Linked DNA regions of Arabidopsis thaliana. The protein of the gene in region 2 interacts with the protein of the main gene of each other region in a biochemical or structural test. Each region holds a gene or a part of one and is shown on either strand. Other genes may lie near its edges.

The links.
Region 1: the proteins of UBQ1 (region 2) and SUVR4 form a complex in vitro, tested with the Arabidopsis thaliana proteins (2 studies listed by BioGRID, with this or other methods).
Region 3: of the proteins of UBQ1 (region 2) and UBP16, one has a biochemical effect on the other in vitro, tested with the Arabidopsis thaliana proteins (one study listed by BioGRID).

What each region holds. Positions count from the first base shown.
Region 1 is NC_003074.8:1,159,766-1,165,558, forward strand, and holds SUVR4 (SET-domain containing protein lysine methyltransferase family protein), read left to right. Parts: upstream 1-1,600; 5' UTR 1,601-1,836; coding exon 1,837-1,861; exon of another isoform or gene 1,862-1,877; intron 1,878-2,265; exon of another isoform or gene 2,266-2,278; coding exon 2,279-3,168; intron 3,169-3,361; coding exon 3,362-3,624; intron 3,625-3,707; coding exon 3,708-3,774; intron 3,775-3,876; coding exon 3,877-3,927; intron 3,928-4,216; coding exon 4,217-4,310; intron 4,311-4,545; coding exon 4,546-4,602; coding exon of another isoform or gene 4,603-4,625; exon of another isoform or gene 4,626-4,691; intron 4,692-4,742; coding exon 4,743-4,774; 3' UTR 4,775-5,212; downstream 5,213-5,793. Other genes in the region: PDLP4 (plasmodesmata-located protein 4), read left to right, coding at 1-127, 384-752, 837-956, 1,187-1,194; AT3G04390 (Aldehyde oxidase/xanthine dehydrogenase, molybdopterin binding protein), read right to left, coding at 5,610-5,744. UniProt on the Arabidopsis thaliana protein: Histone methyltransferase that converts monomethylated 'Lys-9' of histone H3 (H3K9me1) to dimethylated 'Lys-9' (H3K9me2) in the absence of bound ubiquitin, and to trimethylated 'Lys-9' (H3K9me3) in the presence of bound ubiquitin.
Region 2 is NC_003074.8:19,503,406-19,507,437, reverse strand, and holds UBQ1 (ubiquitin extension protein 1), read right to left. Parts: upstream 2,060-4,032; 5' UTR 1,771-2,059; coding exon 1,668-1,770; intron 1,581-1,667; coding exon 1,494-1,580; intron 1,409-1,493; coding exon 1,306-1,408; intron 1,109-1,305; exon of another isoform or gene 1,067-1,108; intron 927-1,066; coding exon 860-926; intron 784-859; coding exon 757-783; 3' UTR 506-756; downstream 1-505. Other genes in the region: CWINV2 (cell wall invertase 2), read left to right, coding at 1-79, 164-358; AT3G52580 (Ribosomal protein S11 family protein), read right to left, coding at 2,737-2,804, 2,890-3,019, 3,116-3,201, 3,598-3,643, 3,721-3,840.
Region 3 is NC_003075.7:12,678,949-12,686,931, reverse strand, and holds UBP16 (ubiquitin-specific protease 16), read left to right. Parts: upstream 1-1,955; 5' UTR 1,956-2,403; coding exon 2,404-2,684; intron 2,685-3,108; coding exon 3,109-4,390; intron 4,391-4,495; coding exon 4,496-4,581; intron 4,582-4,708; coding exon 4,709-4,794; intron 4,795-4,899; coding exon 4,900-5,062; intron 5,063-5,159; coding exon 5,160-5,283; intron 5,284-5,369; coding exon 5,370-5,527; intron 5,528-5,935; coding exon 5,936-6,020; intron 6,021-6,116; coding exon 6,117-6,326; intron 6,327-6,788; coding exon 6,789-6,850; intron 6,851-6,949; coding exon 6,950-7,439; 3' UTR 7,440-7,732; downstream 7,733-7,983. Other genes in the region: DIC2 (dicarboxylate carrier 2), read right to left, coding at 1-386. UniProt on the Arabidopsis thaliana protein: Recognizes and hydrolyzes the peptide bond at the C-terminal Gly of ubiquitin. Involved in the processing of poly-ubiquitin precursors as well as that of ubiquitinated proteins.

The DNA.
Region 1 (5,793 bases), about 18 Mb from region 2:
CATAAATGTGTTGGTGATCTTCGTGAAATTTCGTCTAGATCGTGTGGAAATGCCACGTCAGCTCGTATTCATCTTCGAGGATGTCATTTGATATACAAATTCGAACGTATTGATACCCCTGGCGCTCGTAAGTATTCATCTTTGTTGTTGACAAAAAATCATAAAATCGTGTACAGAAAAAAATGGTTGGAAAATTTCTTACTTATTTGGTCTTATAGTAAAATTTCTTATACTTTTATCAAAAAATATATTATTTCTTAGGTATATAAATTTTCCACTCGCGAGAAAAATTGAAGGATAGTGATAAACAAATTAAGTTGAATTCACATTAAAGTAAACGATTCATTACGTAAAATAAATATGATTCTTGTTATTTTTGGAAGAAGTTAATAATCATCACAAGTACAAGTTATTTGAGACCCCGGAACACGGTCTCATCCACAAGATATGCGATGGAGCTACCGCGGAGACTTTCCCCGGATTCGAAGAGATGAGGACGGAGGCACTCACTGCAGCCGAAACAGGAGTTGTTGACGGTCACGGATTCTATGAGGATAGCTACAAGCTCCTCCACGTTGTGGCTCAATGCGACGGCCACGTTGAAGCTTGCGATTGCGGCGAGTGCATAAGTTCAGCCGCGGCAGCAGCAGCAGAAGAGTGTCGGTGGTCCATAGCCGGACAAATATACTTAGAAGGGTGCCACGTCGGTTATACATATCACCCACATGAACTTCCCAATGATTCATACCACGGTACGTACAGTTATTAAAGAAAACTGAACCAAAACAAATATCAGTTGATTATGTACTTAAGTTGCGAATTGTTTCTTTTGACAGAAGAAGGTTCAAAAGTAAACACGGGGAAGTCGTTGGCGATTGTTGTAGGAGGAGTAGCGGCATTGGTCTTTGTTGCTATCTTTTTTATGTTCCTAAAAAGCTTGCGGAAAAAAGGAGATGGTAAGTTATTACTATTAGATTTGATATCGTTTTACTCTATTTTTTTTTAATTTGAAAACATTATAATGTAGAGACATGCTAATATAAACGAAACATGCTAATTATAAACGAAAATATTAGAAACTTATAATTATATAGATCCCATGTTTATGAAGTTCTTACACAAATGTTCTAACTATTTAATTATGTACATACAAAATTGAATTGACTAATTAATTATCCTATTGCAGATTGTTGAAGGGTACATGATCAGAGAGATGTTGGGAAAATAATTCTGTTCCTTGTATTTGTTCTACCAACCAAGGAAAACCTCCTTCTTTCCATTTTTCGATTGTGGAAATAAAAGTGGTAGGATACGTAATTAATCATGTAACTATTTGCCCTAAAAGTTATATAACATCCTTTAATAACTACGACGTTTGCTTTAACAAAAAAAAAAAATAACTACAGTACGACGTTTGAAGTAAGAAGATTATATATTTATGTTTTGTAACCCCCAGAACTAATACATATCACGTTATAGCCCATAACTTTTATTTAATTATGCTGTGCTTTTTAGTCAATGGGCCTATTTTAATGGACCTACACAATCATGGAAATAAATCTGGAAATAAATCTGTCCACGACGGAAAAACAAAATCTATAAACAATTGTATGTATACTCACGCACGACGCAGTGAAACAGAGATACTGTGGAAAAGTGTGTTTAAAATGGATCTGTTTTAGGGTATTTATCAATTCGAAAATTGATTAATTTATTAATTTCGTAAGCTTTCACAGAAAGTTCGAACTCTTTGCATGCAATCATTCGCCGTCTTCTTCCACAATTGTGTTTTTTAGCCGGCGGCGGCTGGATTCGAGAAGCTTCCGATTGTTCTGTATGATCAGTCTCTCCGGACTAACCAGTAAGGTTTTTTGTTTGTATGTTACGCATTCTCTTTGCTTTTCTCATGCATTCTCTTTTCTTATTGTGTTGATCAATGTGGGTTCTTACTCCGCGAGTTGCAGAACGGTTTAAGCTTGAAATTTTGAAAAATGTTGGAATCTGTCTTTGTCGATTTGATGAGATCGCCGTTTTTGTTTTGTTTGGAATTGGCATAAATCTGTTTTTAGGGTTCTTGATTGGTGAGATTTTTGGATGATTGTTGATAAGGATTGGGTTTATTCAAAATTCGCAGATCTTTAAGGATAGCTGATGCATTGATGTGTCTTTACTTTGGTGATTAGCAGTTTCATACATATGAACCAGATTATATTTTATCACTAGAAAACTAGTAATTTGGCATTTTTTACCAATTAAGATATTTAGTGTGTATTTGCAGGTTCTGTTGAAAGTGATCTCGATATGCAACAAGCGATGCTCACCAATAAAGACGAGAAGGTACTCAAAGCTTTAGAGAGAACAAGGCAATTGGATATTCCCGATGAAAAGACAATGCCAGTGCTTATGAAGCTCCTAGAAGAGGCTGGTGGCAATTGGTCGTATATAAAGTTGGATAACTATACTGCACTGGTCGACGCTATTTATTCTGTTGAGGATGAGAATAAGCAAAGTGAAGGTTCATCTAATGGTAATAGAGGGAAGAATCTTAAGGTCATTGACTCTCCTGCTACTCTGAAAAAAACTTACGAAACCCGTTCTGCATCCTCAGGTTCCTCCATTCAGGTAGTCCAGAAGCAGCCACAGCTTAGTAATGGTGATCGCAAGAGGAAATATAAAAGCAGAATTGCTGACATAACTAAAGGTTCAGAGAGCGTTAAAATCCCTCTTGTCGATGATGTTGGGAGTGAAGCTGTGCCAAAGTTTACTTACATCCCTCACAACATTGTTTACCAAAGTGCTTATCTCCACGTGTCTCTGGCTCGAATCTCTGATGAAGATTGCTGCGCAAACTGCAAAGGGAACTGTCTTTCAGCTGACTTTCCTTGCACTTGTGCTCGTGAAACCAGTGGAGAATATGCTTATACCAAAGAAGGGCTGCTAAAGGAAAAGTTTCTGGACACCTGTCTTAAGATGAAAAAGGAACCAGATTCGTTCCCTAAAGTTTACTGCAAAGACTGCCCTTTGGAGAGAGATCACGATAAGGGCACATATGGAAAATGTGATGGACACTTAATCCGAAAGTTCATCAAGGAATGCTGGAGAAAGTGTGGATGTGATATGCAGTGTGGAAATCGAGTAGTACAGAGAGGGATAAGGTGCCAACTGCAGGTTACATTTCTAGGATACTACATTCAATCTTATATGCTGACCATCCTATTTTAAATTAGTCTTCTATATAGCTTCTTGGCTTGATGTCTGGCACCCTCATAATTTTGAACTATTTCTATGATTTTCTCCCCGTTTTTTTTGAATTATTATTTTCTCCTTTCATTTGTTTGACGAGCAAAATATATTGTTTCAGGTTTACTTTACTCAAGAAGGGAAAGGATGGGGTCTTAGAACACTGCAAGACTTGCCCAAAGGAACCTTTATCTGTGAATACATTGGTGAAATATTGACCAACACGGAGTTATACGATCGGAATGTTAGGTCTAGTAGTGAACGACATACATATCCTGTAACTCTGGATGCAGACTGGGGTTCTGAAAAGGATCTAAAAGATGAAGAAGCTCTCTGCCTGGATGCCACAATCTGTGGAAATGTCGCAAGGTTTATCAATCACAGGTATTAATCAACGCTCGTTGTGCTATGATTTTTTCGTGCTTCCCTTGAGAGTTTATGGTTCTTGTGAACTTTTGTTGATGCAGATGCGAGGATGCAAACATGATTGATATTCCGATAGAGATAGAGACGCCTGACAGACATTATTATCATGTAAGTATCTGTTTTCTCCACTCTAACCTGATCTTCCGGAAAGCAGTGATTGTGAAAGTAAATTTCAGTGAGCTTAAGGAGTCTGGGTTTGGTCATGTGCAGATTGCTTTTTTTACCCTACGAGACGTGAAGGCCATGGATGAGTTGACATGGGTAAGCACCATGATTAAGCTACCTTAGTTTTAACTACTTTGTATTGACCACATAGTTACAAATACTCACATGGCTAAAGAAGTTTTGCGCTCTTACTGTGGATATTGCACTAAAGCTATTAGATTAGAGCATTCTGATGATTTTGCCATTCTAGATCTCTGGTGTGTTTGTAGATGACTTCATCAATAGAGAGATGGAACCAAACACGTCTTTCTACTGGTCCCATAACGTTATCCTCTCTTGAGTTGTACAGATACTCAATTCAAAAAACCTGTGTTTCTAATCGCAGGATTACATGATAGACTTCAATGATAAAAGTCATCCTGTAAAGGCATTTAGATGTTGCTGCGGAAGCGAATCATGCAGAGACAGAAAAATAAAAGGTCAGTTTTCTTTACACATTGCTTTTGTTGTTCAAACCTTTGTGACAGAATGCTGGCTTACTTCCTTCGTTTGCTTACACATTCTAAGTTAGATTTTGTGTAGTTTCGTATGAGATCCGAGCCAAAAATATGATTTGGCAAAGTACATTGATTCACAGAAATGAAATGATGCCACCAAAAAAAGAGAAACTATATTTCTTGGCTAATTATGCATTCCGGTGATATGTCATGTCAGGATCTCAAGGCAAGTCTATAGAGAGAAGAAAGATTGTTTCTGCTAAAAAACAACAAGGTGAGAAAGAATGTCTAAGATGATATAACCTTAGAGGCTTAGCATCAATTATCCCTGCCTAAAGCTTGAGATCCTTTAGAATTTCTCTAAAGTGTATGATTCAGTCGTTGAGGTAACAACCGCCAATTCTTAAAATGCAGGTTCCAAAGAGGTGTCTAAAAAGCGCAAATGAGACTGGTCATTATTTAGAGTTAAACATTAAAGAAAGCATGAGCTCACAAAACACTATGATCCATCGCGAGCTCTGCATGATTCAACTAGCTTTTCCTTCTTGATGACATATACAACTTTTATGGTCTGCAGTTTTTTCTCATTTACAATCTCTTCTTTAGGTAAAAAAAAGTGTTATGTTGCCTAACCAAAGAAACTCACTGTTTAGTTCTGTTCTTCAAATTTCATGGCATATGTCAAAATAAATAAACCTTTTTTAATAGAGTTCTAGAGCGTAAAGACTGGATCGAAAAGGAGCCCATCACTGGTAAATTCAGCCAAGAGTGATCCATCGCATCAATGATTTGTAATGTTAAACAAAATTTTAATATTTAGACTTAGAAGTTGTAATTTATTGGTTTATTTTGGTCATCATAGAAGAATTATTTACATATTTTATATTTTTATTTATACATTGTTGCTAGTTTTTTTGGAACTATCAAATTTTACATTCTTTGTTTTTTTTTCTCCAAGAAGTTACTGATTTGAAGAAACCTATATCTTTGTAATGTTACATGTACTGGAGACTGGAAGTTACTTACATATATGACTTTGACCAACATTTCTATTCGGATTAAACAAAGTATAATCCTAGGTTCATCAGTTCCAAATTTGTTTCTACCAATTCAGAAGTGCTTCTTCTTATGGTTGCATACCTTGAGAAGAGAAAGGGAATGTTGTGAGTAAAGCATCTTCTTAAGGTATTTTTTAGTTTCCAGGTCCGCAAGTGAGTAAAGCTCATGGTTTAATCCATGTATGAGCTGCATCTCCCCACTTGAGCTCTTCGAAAGCTACCCTCAGCGAATGGTGTTGAAATTGTGTTTAGATGTAACAGGCTCCAATTTTGCTATAATATGCTTAACATCGTCTAAAACTGCAGGACCATACATATCAGAGCTCGCAGAAGCAGCAGTAGGTGACGCATTAGGAACCTATTAAGAGGCAATCAAAACGACAAGAGAGCAATAAAAGTTTGTGAGG
Region 2 (4,032 bases):
GGAGAGGATGTACAAACCATCGTTTGCTGGTTTTGTGGATGTCGGTCTCCTTGACGGAAAGATCTCTCTAAGGAGTTTGGTACGTCACAAACTTAAATCATTTTACTGAATATTACTCTTGTATAGAGAAGCAAATAGGTAACATAATTGAGTGAATTTGCAGATTGATCACTCGGTTGTGGAGAGCTTTGGAGCAAAAGGAAAGACAGTGATAACATCTAGAGTGTATCCGACAAAAGCAGTAGGAGAAAAAGCTCATTTGTTTGTCTTTAACAACGGCTCACAACCTGTGACCGTAGAGAGCCTCAATGCATGGAACATGCAGAAGCCTCTGAAGATGAACCAAGGTGCAAAGTGATCACATCATTCTTTAATTTTTTCGTTGACAAATTTAATTCATTCGTTAAAACAGAGAGTCTGTCACAATATATTGTAGAAAAAAGGAACCTATTGTGTTTCTTTTACAATCAATACAATTTGTACATAGTTTATCACTACTAACAATGTATTGATCTTATATTTTATTAATGAAACACGTCTCCTAATCACATAAACGGTCATTATTTCACGATACTTGTATAGATTGGAATTAAGCAAGAATCTTCCGTAATCGATTCAGAATAATAGAAAACCAAATCCTTTTACTGACATTATCTTTTAACATAGAAAGTCACTGAAACAAGAAAAACAAACCCTATCAAAGGGAAGACAACAAAAAAAAGCAAGCAAGAGATGGGATTCTTGATAAGAGTCTCTCTACTTGATCTTCTTCTTAGGCCTCAACTGCAAATAAAAAAAGTTTGTTCAGATATCATTTCAGCTGATAAACACCAAAAAGAAACAAGTAACAAAAACAAACCTGGTTGCTGTGACCACACTTCTTCTTCCTGCAGTTGACAGCTCTTGGGTGAAGACGAGCATAGCACCTACCAAAAGATGCGAAATTTACATTAGAATAATCTCATTGAGACATCAGATCGGACCATAGATGACAAACTATCCAACAAACAAGATGTTTCAGCAATCAAAAATACAAGCTTCAACACATTTTCAAAACCATTTGCAAAAATGTACCATTCAAGAAAATCATCTGGAAAGATGAGAAATTTGACCAGCTGACAAAGTTTAGAGAATGGAAATGTTTGATATTGGGAACATTTATAACCTCAACACGCATTGTATAAGGCTTGAGAAGCTAAGTTAATTCCCATTAAAACAACTAAAACCCTAACACACTAATAAACATTTGGTACTTTGAACTATTAATCAACAAAACTACAATCTTAGGGAGAAATTGAAACTTACTTGCGGCAAATCATCTTATCCTGATTGTACTTACGAGCAAGCATCATCAAGGAAGGCTCAATAATACCTCCTCTAAGCCTCAACACAAGATGAAGTGTAGATTCTGTTTACAAATGATAACAATCCATTAGAGTTTATACAATCAGATCATCGAAATGATCAACAGAAGGATTCGGATGATTTCGTACCTTTCTGGATGTTGTAGTCAGCCAAAGTACGGCCATCTTCGAGCTGCTTTCCGGCGAAGATCAATCTCTGCTGATCCGGAGGGATTCCTTAAAGGAGAAACAAGTAAATGATAAGAGATCTGAATTTCAAAAAGCTAAAGAGAAGAATCCAGATTGAGTGAGGAAGAATGATACCTTCTTTGTCTTGGATCTTGGCCTTGACATTGTCGATGGTGTCGCTGCTCTCGACCTCGAGAGTGATGGTCTTGCCGGTCAAGGTTTTCACGAAGATCTGCATCTTTTGTGTTTCGTCTTCTCTCACGTAGAAACCCTAAACAAGGAGGAGGCGGGTTTATATATGTCAATGTACGCGTCTAGGGTTTTGCTAATATTGGGCTAGGTTACAGGCCTTTACCACAAAAGGCCCAGCCCACTTTCCAAATTTGCATTTCTACCTTATGCCTTGAGATTTGAGTGGGCTTTTAAGATAACATTTTAGATATCTCTCTCATTAAAAGACCACTTCTCGTTAGTCGAAGGTTTCATATGCACAAAACCTATGAGATTGTTGGATCTTGGTCAGGGTCTGATACATAGAGTAGCTATAACAAATCGTTTCTATCATTCCCAAGGTCCAAAGACACTACATGATTCTAAGATTTATTTGTCAAAAATTTCACCTTCTTGCTGATGATGAGGCGATTGACAAGAGCTAACCAAAAAACAGATCCAAACTTAGCTAAGTCTAAGATGGATATTATTAGATCCGGATAAACCGGAAGAAGGTCCGACAAAACGGAAAAGGAGATCCGATCTAAATCGGAAAACGAAATATGTTACAAAACAAAAAAAACAAAGATACATTCCGGTCAACCGGAAATCGAACTTTTTCTCTCTAAAAGATAAAGGTGAGATAAGAGAGAGAAAGTTTGTTTTCTAAAATTCTGTAGTCTATGTTCAATTTGTGAAATATCCCGGGATATTACAAAATTACAACCAAATAAAAATATTTTATCAACTCCAATCAAAGATTTGGCACCTAAGACTTTACAAAATCATACAGCACAAATTCAAGGTTTTTTTGTGAGATAAAATGACTACCAATTTTTGAATATCTTATGGTCATACAGAAAAAGATCCAAAGCTGTTCAGAGTTGAGACTATAACAAAGCATAGTAATTCCAAAACTCTTTTCAAACTAAGAAAAAACAAAATGAAACATTGAGAAAGCTACATAAGGAGATCCAACGAGAGGCCAAATAACTCAGAGCCTCCTTCCTCTTCTTCCACCCTTTCTGCGGGTACTGTCGGTTGGGATTGGAGTCACATCCTCTGAGGAAAACAAGAACAATGTCAGAGATTTATTCAATCAAAGATGCAATTAAACAATTACAGTTGAAGATTGCTGCTGTTTTACCAATGCGACCAATTTTCATGCCAGAACGGGCAAGGGCTCTTAGAGCAGACTGAGCACCAGGTCCAGGGGTCTTGGTCTTGTTACCACCAGTGGCACGGAGTTTCACATGTATGGCAGTGATTCCAAGTTCCTGTGTTGCATAAATATATTCACCAAATCGATTAAATATAGAAACATAAAAGATTATCAAGTTGTCTGCTTGGTAATGCAATTTCTTTGCCTTTACCTTGCATCGCTGAGCAACATCTTGTGCCGCAAGCATAGCAGCATAAGGTGAGGACTCATCTCTGTCGGCTTTCACCTTCATTCCACCTACAGAAGTAGGAAATCGAAACAGCAATTTTAGCAACCCATTGTTATTTAAGAACAATGCAATTTCCAAACAGATAAACAAAAGGAATTCCTCAAAAGTTAAACGAACAAAGACTAAAGACACTTCAGCTCACACCCTATAGAGAAGACCATAATACTAATAACAATGGTAACTAACTTAGTTCTATAAGCAGGAACATTGATGCCGTCAAGAACAAAGCAATTTCTATAAAGATATCAACGGATTCCTCGAAAAAACTTAAAAGAGCAGATACTAAGCAGAACCTTTAGGCAGTCAAGAACTTCATTTCACACTCAACAGAGACTACCGCATACAAGTTAACAAAGGGATCATCACCAAAGGATTAGAGAGTGAGAGTTGAAAGAGATGATTACCAGTGATGCGAACAAGTGTTTCCCGTCCAGACAAATCAGTCACGTGCTGCAATTGCAGATATAAGAAGTTCAGAAATGTACATAAAAATCTAACTTTGCTTGAAAAATAAAGAAGCCACTCACAATGAAAGTGTCGTTGAATGAAGCAAAGACGTGAACAACTCCAAAGACTTGCTCTCCTTCACGAACAGCTGGTCCAAGAGTCACATTCTCAACCTTTGGCTCTTTGGTCTTTCTCTTCGACTACAAAACCAAACAAAAACTAGCATTATGCATTTGCAATATCTAATAAAAACTTCTCAATTTGATAACTCAACGCTAGAGCCACACAAAAAAAATCCAATGTCTCAGAAAATTCATATGATCTCAGATCGAAATTCGAAGAATAAGGATTGCTTATTAAACATTTTCTCACTTCAGACCACCACACAATAC
Region 3 (7,983 bases), on a different chromosome or scaffold from region 2:
TTCCTACTCAGATTCAACTTCCCTGACTCAGGATCAGTCCATTTGTTCTTAAGCACTTCGTATAGACCCATCCTGGTGGTGGAATATAACGTCTGACGGAGAAGTGTAGCGGAGACTCCTGAGAATAACGCGGCGGCGCCTTCCGATTTGACTATGTTGATTCCGAGTGAGATCGGTCCTACTTTGGGGACTGAAGAAGTCGTTTCCAGGAAAGCTGCAGGAGAAGAATTGGGGAAAGCGAGAGCTGGACGGAGGAGAGTGACGGTGGTGGTGGAAGGTGCTTCACCGTGAAGCTGAAGACGAACCTTGATTAGATCGAGAGGGTGAGTAGAGCAACCGGCGATTACAGAGGCAATCCCACCTTCAACGAAACTTTTGACTCCCATTGTTGTGAAATTGGAGAGAGAAGAGAGAATGAAATTGAGATGTTGTGAGTGAAGGAGAAGAAGAGGGAAACAAAGGTATTTATTTGTAGCGAGTTTTGTTTTGTGACGCGGTTTTGTCTGTGTTCAATGTTGACGAAACGAGTGAGAGAGTGTCTGATTATTAAAGAAAACCCTAATTAAGTCAGACCCGCCGGTTATAAAAATAGTCAAAAAGTAGGAAAACGCGTGTGTGAGTGAGACAGAGACAGCCCATTGTTTGCTTTATGGGCTTATAAGCGAGACGTGTTAATTGGGCTTTTTCCTTTATGGCCGAAAACAAAAGAAACGTCGCCTGAGAGATTCGAACTCTCGCGGGCAGAGCCCATGTACTTAGCAGGCACACGCCTTAACCACTCGGCCAAAGCGACTTGTTGCTATGAGTTAGACAAAATCATTAAAATTCTCTATTATGATTTCTCATAGTGTGTGTGTATATTGTGGATCTACTAAAAATTCTTTGTTATTATTACTTTATTTTGTGAATTAGTTTGATATAGGTAAGTACAAAGTTAACTTTATTATTTACTCAAAATTTATCAGATTAACTGATTTTATATTGTTTCCTTTGGTATATAGACGTACTATAGTTTTTAGAAAAACCATAAGATTCCTTTATATTTCATAGAGTGAAGAGATGAGATGAGATCTTGGCTGGAGAAGAAATAAGTTTCCACGAGGAGGACTCTTTTTTTTTGGTGAAGACGAGGAGGAGGACTCTTGGTTGATCCAGTCTTTACGTTAGACATCGACCCCTACATTTATTTGCCTTTCTCTATCAACATGGCAGGTAAAAATCTTCATTCAACCGAACCAACCAAAGTCTCTTCCCAATAATATTCAAGCACCATCCTTTGGGAAACTCATACATACTACAGTCTACACTCTTTCATTTTCTTTCAACGCTCAACTTAACAAATGATATAGTCTAGTTGTCAATTATATGTTTTAATTAGTGTTTTCACATCAAATTCTGGTTTGATATTTGATGACTATTTTCGGAAACATCTCAATGTCCCGCAAATACAATCGTCTATCATATATAATCCCGTACGTTGTATTCTTATAGATAGAATAATATGGCGTGATCTTTATAATATAACATATAGAATCGTGTAGATTTATTTTATTTTATTTTTATATATCGCATAAATTGCAAAATACTTATATATGTTTGTTATATATGATACCCATTTTATAGTTACTTAAAAAAAGTTAAGCGATAATATATATATATCAACTTTTTATAACAAAAAAGTATAACACATGGTAAAGAAAAATAAAAATGAAGACATGGTGTGACACGAAAATGGCACTAAATATACATATATAATAGATAGCTACAATATCCCATCATACACACTTTTTTAATTGACTAATACATAACTTACACACTTTTTTAATTGACTAATTCATAACTTTTTATCATTGTCAACATGCAAATTCATATTTCCGTTGAACTATTATTCTTATTTTGTTTTTAAAAGAAGGGCTTCCTGGTAATAAAAATATGATTTCCAAATGACGTTAGAGCAAAAAAAAAAAAAGGTTGTCTGGTCTGGTAAAATGAAAAAGCAAAGCGTCTTGGTATAGAAAAGTAATATACTGCCTCCTAATTTCTTCGTCCTTCTACCGAAGAATCTCTCCACTCTTGCCCTCTTTCGAAACCCTAAACCAGAAGCACCAGATTTTTTCAACTTTTTCCCAGAGAACAATAGAAAACCCAACTTGTGCTCTCTAGGGTTTTCTTTATTCCTTCTCATCTTTGGATTTTCTTGGGTCATCATTTTGGAAGCTTACCCACCAGCGAAAAAATTATAACTTCCATCGATTCCTGGCTTCTCTCTCTCGCTCTCTCTGCATGTGCTAAATCGCCGGACTGATCCTCACTGTCACCTCTGTTCCCGGCTTATTCGCCGGTGAAATCTATGGTTGGTGCTCAGATTTATTTCCAATTGTTTGTGCATCTGGTGGAGGATAAATGCTCCTTGTTTTGGATCTAGGGATTTCTAGTCTAGTCCTTGTGGTCTCTCTTGTTTTACCTTTGATCGGTCTCTTTGTTCGTCACAAATGGAGGGTCGCTGCCCAAAGAAGGGAGGAGATTAGAAGACTTCTTATTCATGCTTCTGAAGAGGCTGCCAGGGCTGAGCTAGAGGCCTCTGTTGAGTTCTCTTCTGTTGCCGTCTCTAATGTCTTCCATTGTCCTGTTTGCTATTGTCTTGCCACGACTCGTTGCTCTCGCTGCAAAGCCGTTCGATATTGGTATGCAAAAATTCTCTCACTTTCTCCATGTCCAAATTACGTTGTATGATCTTAGAGTTATGATTGCATCTGCTGCACTCTCTGCTGAGACGTGATGAATTGGAGTGATTAGTAGGCAAAGAATATAAGTTAGTTCTGTAACTTTAGCGATACTGGATCAGAGATTTAAGAAAATTGACTTCTTTTTCTATGTTAACAAAATTATGGGTAATTAGTTAGCTTGGGAGGAAGTTTAGTATTTGATTCATGGCTTATCTGTGAGTAACTAACTATGTGCTGCTGAGGAATTTATTTCAATTAGATAGCTTAAGAAATGTACTATAATGTCTATCAAATTTTCAACCTTTTCCCCTTAGCGCATGTGAAATTTCGTTACCTACATATCTTAGTGATAGTTGTTTCGTTTTTGTTATTTTTTTTCCAGTTCCGGGAAATGTCAAATCATTCACTGGCGGCAAGGTCACAAAGATGAATGTCATCCTGCTTCCATTGTATATGATAGTGAAGATGAGAGTGATTCCGATTTGAGATTAGGAGAAGAAAATGGACAAAATACTCCTGAGGAAACTTTACTGGTGGGTCCAGAACCAGTTACTATACCAATCGGGGAATCACTATTATCTAATCGTGCCAGATCTCCTGAAGATGGGAATGGAGATATTGCAGATAACAAAGATGACCTTATAGATAAGGAAGAAGCTGTTTCTGTTGCTGAAACATCTGGATCCTCGTTTTCTGGCTTCTCCTCCTCCCCCCGTAATGACTCTGGCGACGAGATTTCTCGTTGTGAGAGCTTCAGTTCATCTGAATCCGAGAGATCAGAGTCCCTACTTGATGCTCATGTCTCTGTAGAGCCAGAAGACACCTGTTTCAGCACCATTGAAGATGCTCCATCCAAACTGTTGTCTCCAAAATTTGTGCACTTGGTTGAATCTGTAGATAATCTCGCTAATCTGCCTAAATTAAGTGTACATAAACCTGAGGATGATGCTGGGCAGAACCAGAGCCAATCAAGGAGCTTACACTCATTAGTTACGGATAGGCATCCAGTATCAGCTGACCCATCTCTGAAGTCATCTGATTTTTGGGGTACGGCTCTTGGATCAGCCGAACGTGTGAGTGATTCTTGTGTTAAATCTAAATCTGGTAGACCTGGTAACTCCTCTCTGCATTTCTCCTTTGGCTCTGGCTCCTCTAGAGACACCTCAGCTGCTAAAGTTTCTGAGCAGAGGAGTAGCATTTTAAAAGAAGCTCCTAGGGGGACTGGTTATATATCTGATGGAGTAAACTTAAGAGAAAGAAATGCTAAAAGATTTGATGAAGCTGAAATTGCATTACCAATTTCCTCTTCTACTGATGCGCTGAGTCCTTTGGACTCTTCTAATTTGTCCCATGTGACCCTTCCGAAGTCAAAGAGCGCTAGTAGTGAAAATGGCTCTATGTTGGCCCCTTTGAAGGTTGGGGAAGTCCAACTTTTGGCATCCAAGGCCTCGAATACCAAGAAGTGTGCTGATCTTATGAAGCATTCTCCTTTAGGTGCAAAATCGGTAAGAGTTCTTGATCATCAGAAACAGAATGGTGCTGTCGTTCAGCATATAAATTCTCTACATGGAAGAAGTGGTTTAAAGGCATCAGTACTGAAAGTTGTAGACCAGTGGACCAGACCGAAGTCTGAAAATGAGATGGCAGGAAGACATGGTCATAAGGTAATCACTGAGTTCTAGGATGTTATCATCATTATGCAATACTTAGTTCCTACATTAACAAATCAGCAAAGCTATTTTTCTTATCAATCTTTTGGTGACATGCAGGGGCTCTTTCCATATGAAGTCTTTGCTAAACTGTATACATATAAAATTGAGTTCCAGCCTTGTGGCCTCATCAACGTTGGCAATAGGTAATTCCAATTTCCTCTTTTTCTAGTCGTTTTTAGCTGTTATAATCTTCAGCTTGTGGTGTAAAAAATGTAAAGTAAATGTGTAGCTTACACTCGCTGATGCAAGAATATACTCTGTTTCTTGCAGCTGCTTTGCTAATGTTGTCTTTCAATGCCTTATGTTCACTCCTCCTCTGACGACATACTTCCTCCAGCAATTTCATTCCAGAGCATGTGCGTCACTGGTTCTAAGTCTTTTTTCTTTTTGCTGCTTATTTTGGAAGGTTATTTTTTATTATCATCAATATATCAAGCCTTTAATAAGTCGTTTAACTATAGGTACAAAAAAAGAACAGTGCTTCACCTGTGGGTTTGAGAAGCTGGTCGTAAAGGCAAAAGAAGAGAAGTCTCCACTGTCCCCTAATGGCTTGCTATCTCAGCTGCAGAATATTGGAATCTTTCTTGGGAATGGCAAGGAAGAAGATGCACATGAATTCCTTAGGTGAACTGACATTTCTGAAATTGAGCAAACTTTGTTGCATATATCTTTATTATAACTGGAAGATCTGTGTTAATTTCATTTTCCTTGCAATTTGCAGGTTTGTTGTCGATACAATGCAGTCTGTGTGCATTAAGGCATCTGAATATGATATGACCAAGAGTAGCAAATTAGAAGATACAACTCTTATTGGTTTGACATTTGGGGGATACCTCCGGTCAAAGGTATCATTACCTACAACATTTGTACTTTACTCATTTTACTTTGTTTTGGAGGGAGTTGTAATCCTGGTACTTATGATCTCTGCCAGATTAAATGCATGAAATGTCAAGTAAAATCTGAGCTGCGTGAGAAAATGATGGATCTAACGGTTGAGATTGATGGAGATATTAGCACCCTGGATGATGCTTTGCGTCGATTTACAAGGACTGAGATATTGGATGGAGAGAACAAATACAGATGTGGCAGGTTGGTCAGCATTCCTTTCCATGTGTTGAACTTCGTGTGGTCCTTTGATATTTCGAATTATCTTTTCATGGTTCTGAGGATAGAGTTTTACATGAGCTTTATATATGGTTCTGAGTTGGGTATGATACCGATTGATTTAAAGTTCATGGGCAGCTGAAGTAGAGTTCATGGCCTGCCAAAGTATTCCCTTTCATATATTTCAATTACAATACCTAGATTCCACGACCAGCTGCAATAAAATTCCCTTCTAGCTTATGAAGACAGAATGTTTTTGAAGTACTATCATGGTCTTTCATTTGCGTAGTTTTAACTAATCACCTGTAACCTCTTATGTAAATCCTGGCAGTACGATTTTACATTCAATGATTGATGGGTGCTTACTCAATTTTTTTATTTTCCTGTGAGCAGCTGTAAATCCTATGAGAGAGCCAAAAAGAAGCTGAAAATAACAGAGCCTCCGAATGTCCTTACCATTGCACTAAAACGATTCCAGGTAACTTATATCTTCAATGAATACCCGGTTTGTTTCTGTTTAGTTCTATCTGGATTCTCTTGTTTCTCACAATTTTGCGACACTTGATTCTTAAAGGCAGGGAAATTCGGGAAGCTCAATAAGTTGATTAGGTTTCCAGAAACTCTAGATTTGGCTCCATATGTCAGTGGGGGAAGTGAAAAATCACATGACTACAAACTCTATGGAGTTATTGTTCACTTGGATGTAATGAATGCAGCATTTTCTGGCCATTATGTCTGCTATATTAGAAACCAAAATAAGTGGTACAAGGCTGATGATAGCACGGTAAGTTTCTCATATATTATCAATGGAATGTTGTTTGCGAATTAGTTTATAAGTAAGCTCGATTTTTTGTTCCCTTTTTACTTGAGTTTGTTATTTGATGAACTTTGGAATTAACTAGGAGTATCTTACTTCTATGACAGCATTTTAGGTTTACAATTTTCTGCTTCTTCCTTTTCAGTGATGAGTTTCTTAGTTTGAAATTTTGAATGGATAAGTATTATATAATTTTCCCCTTCCTTTTATATGCTGAAGTTGTTTTCTAGAAAGGATATTCTAGCTGGTTCCATTGGGGTTTCTATCTTTGTTGTAGTCTGAAGAGTCGTAGGATTGGTTTTGTGAGAGAAAATGTTTTGGCTTCTACTCATTGACTGGTCTCTTCTCGTCATCATCCATATATCTGCATCATACATTTGAAGAAAATTTCAATGTTTAATTCCTCTGTTGTGCATTGATTATTGTCAGGTAGTAACTTCGGATGTGGAAAGGATCTTGACAAAGGGAGCGTATATGTTGTTCTACGCAAGGTAAATAATATTATAATGCATCTCTCACACTCTTTAAAGTTGTGGATTATGCTCGATCTGGTTACTTATGATGGTATATATCGAATGAATTGACTGCAGGTGCACTCCAACGCCTCCAAGATTAGCAGTATGTACCAAAACTGAAGCATCCAATAAAAAAAGCAGAGTGCCACTACCTAAGGCTAATGAGAAAAGTACCATATCCCGGTCTGTGTCTACTTCAAGTCCTGAGTTGTCTTCCAACACGCCTGGTGGTGGTCGATCCGGCAATATACAGTCATTTTATTCTAGTTTCCAGAGGCTGCAGAAGATTTTAGAAGAAGACTCGGCGAGTGACAGTTCATCTCTCTTTGACAGCAACTCAGATGAATGCTCTTGTAGCACAGACAGTACAAGCATGGACGACTTTGCTGATTTCATTTTTGGAGATCATCAGGGACGGGCTCACGGACAGTCTGAGACTCCCTCACCAACATCATCGTCTTCCTCATCTTCTCCCCCCTTCACAAGGCGTTCGCCGCTCAGTCGTTCTTCTCCAGAAACTTACGGAACCTCAAGACATCAGTTGCCCTTGGGAGGAGAAAGGTAAGGGAAACAAGATGGTTTTTTGTCCACTTGGCCCCAACTAAGTCAAAAGTAGTAGAAGAAAGTAGATTTGATTACACGTAGATTGAGTGGTTTTATTAACAACCCGTATTTAGGCTTGGTGAAAGTGGTTAATGAGAGAAGTGGTGGTATATAGTAGTGTATAGTGGGGAAGAGAGTTTTTGCCCATGAAATTGTATCACGTAATGGAACGGAATTTACCTTTGTTAATAAGTTGTTTTGACTTTTATTATAATCAATCAATAAAGCTAATCTAATATTGTCTCATCGTTGCACCTTTATTTCTTTTGCAATTTGCTTAACTTTGAATCTTTGGATTCAGTTCAGTTCAGAAATTCAAGAAAAATCCCAAAAGATGCAATTTTGCCAGTTCCAAGAAAAGAGATCATATGATGTTTTCAGGGGCAAACAAAATAAAAGCATATAGCCATATATGTTGATACCGAAACAAGAAAGTATCCAAATAGAAGAGACAACATTCAACACAGTACTGTGAAGCAAGTGTGATCCGAAAATGAAAAGAGAAA